Oryzias latipes: one gene and its partner. The protein of the gene in region 1 interacts with the protein of each later gene in a pairwise test. Links are inferred from orthologs where the notes say so. Each region holds a gene or a part of one and is shown on either strand. Other genes may lie near its edges.

Region 1 (4,455 bases):
CAGGACCCATGACAGCGATATAGCGCTGATAAAGCTGCGGACACCGCTCAACTTCACAGGTTAACCTGACAGGAAAAAAAGGGTTTCTTCACTCGAAACATTGAAATGAATTCCTGTCAGACTGGTTTATTGCTTTTAATCCTGACTAGACACAATCAGGCCCATCTGCCTACCTCAGTATAAGTATGATCTGCCAGGTGGAACACAATGCTGGATTTCTGGATGGGGATACACAAAGCCTGATGATGGTGAGACAGTGCTGCCCCAGGTCTCAATTCCAATAAGGTAACAGGAGAGTGACAAATGCATCAGCCTTTAACGTCTCCTTCTCTTCTCAGTTCAGTCACCTGACACCCTGAAAGAAGCGCCGGTGCCTTTGATAAGCACTAAGAAGTGCAACAGCTCCTGCATGTACAATGGAGAGATCACGCCGCGGATGCTTTGTGCGGGATACACAGAAGGAAAGGTGGATGCGTGTCAGGTCAGATGGCTGTTTGCATGTTTGCATTCTGTCTTGATTCCTTACAGTTTTGCTGATGGGTTTGTGTGTTTACTTCTGTAGGGAGACAGCGGGGGTCCTCTGGTTTGCCAGGAAGATACTGTATGGAGGCTGGTCGGGGTTGTCAGCTGGGGTACGGGATGCGCTGAGCCAAACCATCCGGGGGTTTACACCAAGGTGGCTGAATTCCTGAGCTGGATTTATGAGATGATTGAGGTAAAGGCTTTTTCTTTAACCTGATAATGGAATAATATTTATATGTAACCTATATTTTTACCACACTTCCAATGCAAATGCAAATCAGCTGATTAATAACTCCAAAATCATTGATTATTGCACGGTAAACTGATCAAAACTAGCTCTCCATTGATGAGTCTAGCTGCACAATCATGCTTTTTCCATGTCAGTTTATTTCTGTAAGTATTTTATCAATTGAATAATGACCTAAAAATGATAACTCTACATCGCTTTGTTAATCTGTAATTACAGTCCTCGTGCACAGCCATTATCATTCCTTTTATATCATCAGCACAAAGGAGGAAAAAAAACTGCTCAATGAAGCGTAATTGAAGTTTACACTGATTGCTAATGATCACTCTCTCTCTCAACAGAATTACTGAGAAAGGAGCAAGACATGAGAGCAAAGGAAGGCCACCGATATTTTATCAGAAACATATGCTTATATAATATATTTTTATGCTTTAAATGTCATTGATATATTGTTTAATAAGACAGTGTGGAAATAAGAGCATTTTTTGTCATATTTTTCACGTTTTGACTACATTAAAGCCTCTTGAACACAGCCTTGTCTGATTTTTACCCTGCAGTTACACGTTTTATCGCTAGGTGGCAATAATGTTCAACAAATCGAGTTTCCATGGCAACTGGAAGCCAAACTACTTTACCTATTGCCTGAATGTCGATATTTGTCAAAGGTTTGATTTAATTTCTTTTCATCTGTAAAGAAATATAATATTGCTTCGTTTGTGTTAGATTTATAATAATTTTTGTTTTCTAAAGCCATAAGTTATTTACTTTAGAGACGAACGAAGGACTTATTTGCTTTCTCTAAACTTGCTAACCTAGCTAGCGGCAAACAAACCTGTCAGGATGACTTCCGGTTGCAATACCGAAGTTTTAGGACAGATCAAACAGTTTTGGTCCATGCTTGACGACCTAAGTGAGAATGACCCTGCAGCTTACCGTAAACTTACCGAAGATTTGAAGACAGGAGGTAAACAGAGGCTGCAACCAGTGCTCCACTCCACTGTGTGCACCCAAATACTGGTAAGTCTAGTGACACGTGCTAAACAGATTAACTAGTTACTTTAAGCATGCATACGCAAGTTTTTTCAAAATAAAACAAAGAGTCTCATTGACAGAACACATCTGACTGATAGATGTTGCAAACTGATGAGTTATTCAATTTTTATGCAATAAACATTGTTCCATTTCAGTAGATATTGATGACTAACAGAGAAGAATGCACAAAAAATAACTCATTACAAAAACAATTAATACTAAAGTAGAAGTAAAATGAGATGCTACACTCCACAATGGAGTATTATTTATACCAAACAAAGTGACTGATCATGTAACGATTAAATTACAGTAACAATACTCTGTGTAGAATTAAGTCAGAGTTTATGTAAAAGTAAGTTTTTGTACTTAGAAATAAACTAACGAGAACACACACATCTATCACATTTACAGCACTGGTCACATATGAACTCATTGGATTTTATTGTTACTATTTTTTCTTTATTATCAAACTTATTTTAGTATTTGTGACTTATTATTTGTCTTTTTCTCCTATGTATGCTCTATATTTGTGAGTTACACTAGGTGGAGACTTTAAATAAGCCTTTTATGTTTTTTTTTGTCTCTCCCTGCACTGCATTTAATTGTATTTTAATGTTTTTCTTGCCGTGTTTTAAATGTGCCAAAGCAAGAAACTAAAAACTAAATTACCACAATTCAAATCAAAGAAACACCTTTTTATTTACTGTCTCTCCGAGGAGAGATAATCTATGATATCTTTTTTTGAAATAATATGGTACAAATAATTAAATAATGTGAAGAATGGCCCAGTACAGCTTAGTTAAAAGTAAAAAGACTCAATCATAGATAAATAAAAATGAGAAAAGAGAGGGGTGCAACCTACCTATTCTTTGAGGTATGAAACTAAATAAATGTAACTGCTTCTTCTTATTTTTTTTATTGTTTAAAATAAAAAATTAAACATGTTAAGCTCTGCTTATAAAGGTTAAATAAAGAATATGTTCTAGAGCAAAGTTTGTTTGAATAATTAACATCTTTATGGCTGTTAAGGAAAAAAAATCACTTGTGTTTTTGCTATGAAGTAAATAAGGTAATTTTGGAGCCAAACTGGTTTGCATATGTACATCAAAGGACGTCAAGGGGTTTTATAATAATAATAATAGTAATAGTAATAATAATAAATCAGTTTTATGATATGTTATATTGCAGCATGTGCTTACATTTATTTCTTTGTCTTTTCGGTAGCTCCTTCTTGGGGTTGCCATTGCAAATCAACCGTCCTTCATTTTAACTGTATCCTCACTATTCTCCTCATGTGCTCACTTCAACTGTAGCAACAAAACTGAATCTAATAAAAAATGTCTACTTTTAGAGAAATCTACAGATTTTCTGCACCTCTGGAGTCTTCAATAAAGTTTTTTGAAACTATTGTTGGGTTGACAAAGTGCCCAGCTGTTTCATCTTTCTTTGGTGCTTATTAGAATACCTTTCATGATTTTTTTTTTTTCTGTAAACCTGTCAGGCTGTGTCAATTTATAGCAATGACACATGGTGTGTTGTGACAGTTTCTGAACAGTACAGCTGTGTGCCTCTCAGGAACCACAAACAGGCTTGCTGTACATTAACATATGCAGCTGGGAAACTGTGCCTGAGCATCAGGATCTGAACGGTCCACTCCCAATGTGTGCAGGAAGACTGGAAACGGGGACAAAAGAAGGTCAAGGTGAGCCACAGACCGTTTCTTTGTGTTGCACCAGCCAAAACGAGACGCTCCCATTGTTCCTCTGCAGGCTGGTATGCTGTCCTGGATGTGGCATTTAATCCTGCAGCACTACGGGGGACGAAGGATGTACCAGACATTAACAAGGTGTACACTGTGGCCCTGAGCTTTGCCCAGCAGCGGCATGGAATGCGGTTATCTCAGGAGTACACTGTTGTCAGCTGCAGCCCCAAGAGTCGCTCAGATGATTTGCACCGTCGACTGGGGTTACGAATGCAGTCCAACCTCCCCAAACAGCCAGAAACAGGTAAAAGAGAGAAGCTTTTAGCAGTGCTAAGCCCCTAAGGCCTTTTATGTTGTACCCAATGTGTCTTTCCTGTGAAGGTGCATGATCTGTCACCTCTCAGCAGTTTCTCTTTTTTTTTTTTCAGCCTGCCAAAATCCAGCTGCCCTTCTTAAGCAGATCTACTCTCTCCAATCAGAGAAGCGTGACGAGAACTCCACAACCCAAATTCCTTTCGGATATGAGGAGTGCAAAAAAAAGGATCTGATCCAAGTAGTTTCCTCCACTATTGTGGAGCCTGAGAGGCCCGAGTACCACCTCGGGGTGAAGAGTGATGCAGCAGGAGTTCCCCGCAGCGTGGAGCTGACTGTGGAGCTGCCAAAGGTGCGCTCCGTGTCAGAGTGCCAGCTGAGTGTGTCCCAGGTTAGCGGTCGCACACTCCCTTGAACAGTTCTAATAAACAATTTCAGGTCCCAGCATGCATCAGTGCATAGCTGGATGCCATGAAGAAAAGAATTACAGCTCTGCGATGAACTGAGTTTTGCAGTGCTGAATTTGACCCTATGTTGCTCTGCAGGAGGACGTCCTTCTGCAAGTGGAGGATGTGTATTATTTGCTTCTGGATTTGCCCGAGAAGGCAAACGAAGACACGGCTTCAGCAATCTTCAACAA
Region 2 (3,819 bases), on another chromosome or scaffold:
TTTCCTTTTCCTTCTAGTGCAGTCTTTATGCGACTGAGGGGCCATTTTGGGCTTCTATGCTTTCGGCGAGCAGCCAGCCCCTCGCTGTAAGTCACCTGTCCCAAAGTGCTTTGCACGGCTCAAGTCTGCTGCTGCAGGATCTGCTGCAAAAGCCCTCCTTTTTCTGGATTTTCTTTATTTTTTTTGCTCCTAAAGCTTTTTTAGAGCTCTTAGTCTTTTAATTGGTCACTCTAACATTATTTTGTCCCACAGCTTCTTGCAGAGCAGTAATTGGTGGCATTGGAAAAACCCTGATATTACCTTTTGCCTAACAGCATGCCTTACTTCTGCAGTATGGAATAATTCATAAAGCTTTTCTGTATTTGATCTGCTTGACCCATGGGTGTTGGTGGTGACCACGCAAAGTTAAATGGGGAAAATCTCTTTAGTTGTTTACTGAGTTTTTACGAAAGCCAGACAGATGTTTTACCAGGAAAAAAAGCAAAATTGAACAATTTTAGGTTAAAAATCTTTGGAGTTGAGGACTTTTTTAATTTTATTTTATTCTTCAAGGCTGTTTTGCTGAAAAGTGGATAAATTGTAAATTTCTGGATGTCTGTGCTTCTGCAGCTCTTATTTTTTTTTTATCGGGTGTTGTATTTTTATGCATTTATTTCATTTGCTCATTTTATTAGAGATTTTAACCCTGTAAAGTCCCACTCCTGTCATTTCAAAAAATCTATTTTAAAGTGCTACCAGTGGTCTTTAAATTATGATTATATGGTTTTAAGCAAAAATCTGAAACCCTGTTGTCTGAGAGCAGTGGTATTTCACTACAAATTAGCCTCTGACTTGTGGGCGGGACTGTTGCCGCTGAGTAAGCTTTCCCCCTTTTTCATCATTCCTTTGTCTACACTCTCTCCGGCTAGCTTACAGCCCCTCACAGCCTTGTTAACACTACCAGTGTAACAAAAATGGTAATCAATATTGCAGCTATCCAGCTGTACAGTTTTGATCCAGATTCCAGCTCAGACAAGGAAAACAAAGGTGTCCATGGATCTATTTGTCTGCAAGCTGATACATCAGAATGGAGCACAGCAGGGAGCTTGGGGGGGGGGTGGGGTTCTACGTCACGCCTACAAACTTTCAAATGGCTTTTTTTTTTAATTCTTTGTCTACTCTTGATTCAGAAGAATTTTAATACTCAGAAATGCACCGGAGTGGGTCTTTGCAACGGCAAGCTTCAGTTTTGTAATGACGCACAATTGTATTTTGTCTTTATTGAGTCATTGAAATTCCATTATAAATTGCATGCAACATAATCAATGCATCTCTTTTTAGAATGCATTAACACAAACCTTTGCTTCAGAAATGAAATGATCACTTCCTTCATACTCACATGAGGGGGTAATTAATCAATGAAGTTTTAGGAAGCGAGCAGCTTTTACTCAATTTGCTGTTTTGTTGACACACCAGTGCTGGAGCGGAGTAGATGGTCTGCTACCACTGTGCAGCTGTCATCTGGTTGGGGCAGTAATGCAGTGTTTTGTACCCAGCAGGGACAGCCGGAGTCGGAGACGGTTCACCTGTTCATTCCTGCGCTTGCAGTGGGAGCCATCATTGGCAAACAGGGTCAACACATTAAACAGCTGTCTCACTTTGCAGGAGCCTCCATCAAGGTGAGTACCTGACAGATGGTGAAGGAGGGATGGGATTACTCCACCTGCCTCTTGTCTGGTTAGGGGGGAGGACTTAAAAGGTTTGGTTGGAGCAGCTCTTTACTGATGTGCTTTTCCTGCTTTCAGATTGCTCCTGCAGAAGGAATGGATGCCAAGCAGAGGATGGTCATTATCGTTGGACCACCAGAAGCTCAATTTAAGGTTCTGAAGCTTCATGTTCACCTTTTTAAAATAAAAATTTGATCATATTAGAGCTTTTTTTTTCTTTCTTTTTTAAATGGCAAAGAAAAAAATTGGGATTCTCCTGAAACGGGGATGGTCACAAAACTGAAGTGTTCTATGTCTAAAAGGCAACAATGGTCAAATCTTTATAGGCCCAGTGTCGCATCTTTGGAAAATTGAAGGAAGAGAATTTCTTTGGACCCAAAGAAGAGGTAAAGCTGGAGGCCCACATCAAGGTTCCTTCTTTTGCTGCCGGAAGAGTCATTGGAAAAGGTGGAAAGACGGTAATGAAAGGACTGATTCTGCAAACCCCCCTGGTAAATCTACAAATCCTGAGACTTTTTCAGAGGATAAATTGCTCTTTGTTACAGGTCAATGAGCTGCAGAACTTGACATGTGCAGAAGTGGTGGTGCCCAGGGACCAGACGCCTGACGAGAACGACCAGGTCATCGTAAAGATCAGTGGGCACTTCTTTGCATGTCAGGTGTGTCATTAAATCAAAGCTTACAAACGGGTTCATCTTATTTTGAATAAAAAATGTTTAATAAGTGGGACACATTTTGTCAGACATCATGCTTTCGCATTTAGGTAGTTGACTGTTTAAATGTGCACAAAAAATGAAATTGATCGTCTCTTATTTGAATGAACTAAACTCCCTGAAATCCTCAACGTTATAACGACTACTAGTTTGCGGTTGGTATTCCTTAAATTGAGCCCTTTCCAAAAAACTGAACAGTTTAAGCTGCCATTTACTGATAATCGCCTGCAACTCGTCACATCATGCTCACCACCCAGCTATTTTCCAAACTTTGTGGTTCATGGTTCCTCAGATTTGTTGGCCTCTATTTCTGCACCTGTAATCAACAGCTTAAATGTCACTTTGCTTTACAGCAGGGGTCTGCAACCTTCAATACTTAAGGAGCCATTCTGGTTAAGTTCTCACTGACCACAACCCAGTAGGAGCCACAAAGTCTGACTTCACCCTATAGACAAATAAGACACTAAAAATGGAGAAAATTGTCGTTTTTTATTTATTTATTATTATTTGAAGTGGTTTATCAATAACTTGACAGAGGTTCACATTACTTCCTTTCAAAATAAGACGCCCCTATAGGTTCATCTTAAGTAGTACTACAGTGTAATGTCAGCAGAGATTTAAAACAAATTAGATATTTGGGTTAACACATTCTGGTGTGGAATGAGTGCTCAGTGTTAAAACATCCTTAATGTTTTCGCTTGAATTGAAACCAAAAAACAAATGAAAAAGGAAAAATCCATTTCAAGACCCACTCAAATGGAAATGGCGTTTTTCTGTTGATATTTTCCTATTGCATTTTTCTCACGGAGGATATTTAAAAAAAAAAACTTTCTGATTTTCTTAATTCAAATCGTAATGATCAGGCGGGTGCAAATGAAAAGCCATGTTTTTTTTAGTTTTCCACTTGAAGACGATTATATTCATGCAAGTCTTCATTTTCTACTATCTGGCTCAAAACTGTACGGCTGGATGGCTCTGAAATTTTCACCCTTTTTTGTTATGCTAATGTTACCTTGGTGTGGTGATGAGCTAAGTGTAAACAAAAGCATTCTGGGATATATCACTGCAGAGTTTCTTCACCAACAGACCCGCCCACAACCCAAAAGCGAATTCCGATGAGCAGTCTTTAAAAAAAGACATGCTTTTAGGTGTTTGATTAAAACTGTGCCTAACCTTTTTTTTTTTTTTGTGGTTCAGCTTGCCCAGAGGAAGATTCAGGAAATCCTGGCCCAGGTGAGGAGGCAGCAGCAGCAGCAGCAGTTAAAACCCCAGCCTGGAGGCCAGCCTCCCATGCCTCGTAGGAAATGATCTGCTGGTTTCAGAGAAATGGCGACTCGGTCTGTCAGAAGACTCAAAAGACGGCCGGATGCAGAAGAGTGTAAGGGGAGGAAGATGACGAC

The links.
Region 2: the proteins of pih1d2 (region 1) and igf2bp3 interact in a two-hybrid assay, tested with the Homo sapiens proteins (2 studies listed by BioGRID and IntAct). The two-hybrid records come from large-scale screens. The link is inferred for Oryzias latipes from reciprocal best matches to the Homo sapiens genes PIH1D2 and IGF2BP3.

The regions. Positions count from the first base shown.
Region 1 is NC_019871.2:11,415,712-11,420,166, reverse strand, and holds the start of pih1d2 (PIH1 domain-containing protein 2), read left to right. Parts: upstream 1-1,373; 5' UTR 1,374-1,434; exon of another isoform or gene 1,435-1,585; 5' UTR 1,586-1,609; coding exon 1,610-1,786; exon of another isoform or gene 1,787-1,801; intron 1,802-3,376; coding exon 3,377-3,503; intron 3,504-3,570; coding exon 3,571-3,807; intron 3,808-3,931; coding exon 3,932-4,206; intron 4,207-4,360; coding exon 4,361-4,455. Other genes in the region: tmprss5 (transmembrane protease serine 5), read left to right, coding at 1-59, 150-248, 339-481, 563-715, 1,111-1,119.
Region 2 is NC_019869.2:10,805,894-10,809,712, forward strand, and holds part of igf2bp3 (insulin-like growth factor 2 mRNA-binding protein 3), read left to right. Parts: intron 1-17; coding exon 18-86; intron 87-1,535; coding exon 1,536-1,658; intron 1,659-1,784; coding exon 1,785-1,859; intron 1,860-2,032; coding exon 2,033-2,164; intron 2,165-2,251; coding exon 2,252-2,365; intron 2,366-3,616; coding exon 3,617-3,727; 3' UTR 3,728-3,819. UniProt on the Homo sapiens protein: RNA-binding factor that may recruit target transcripts to cytoplasmic protein-RNA complexes (mRNPs). This transcript 'caging' into mRNPs allows mRNA transport and transient storage.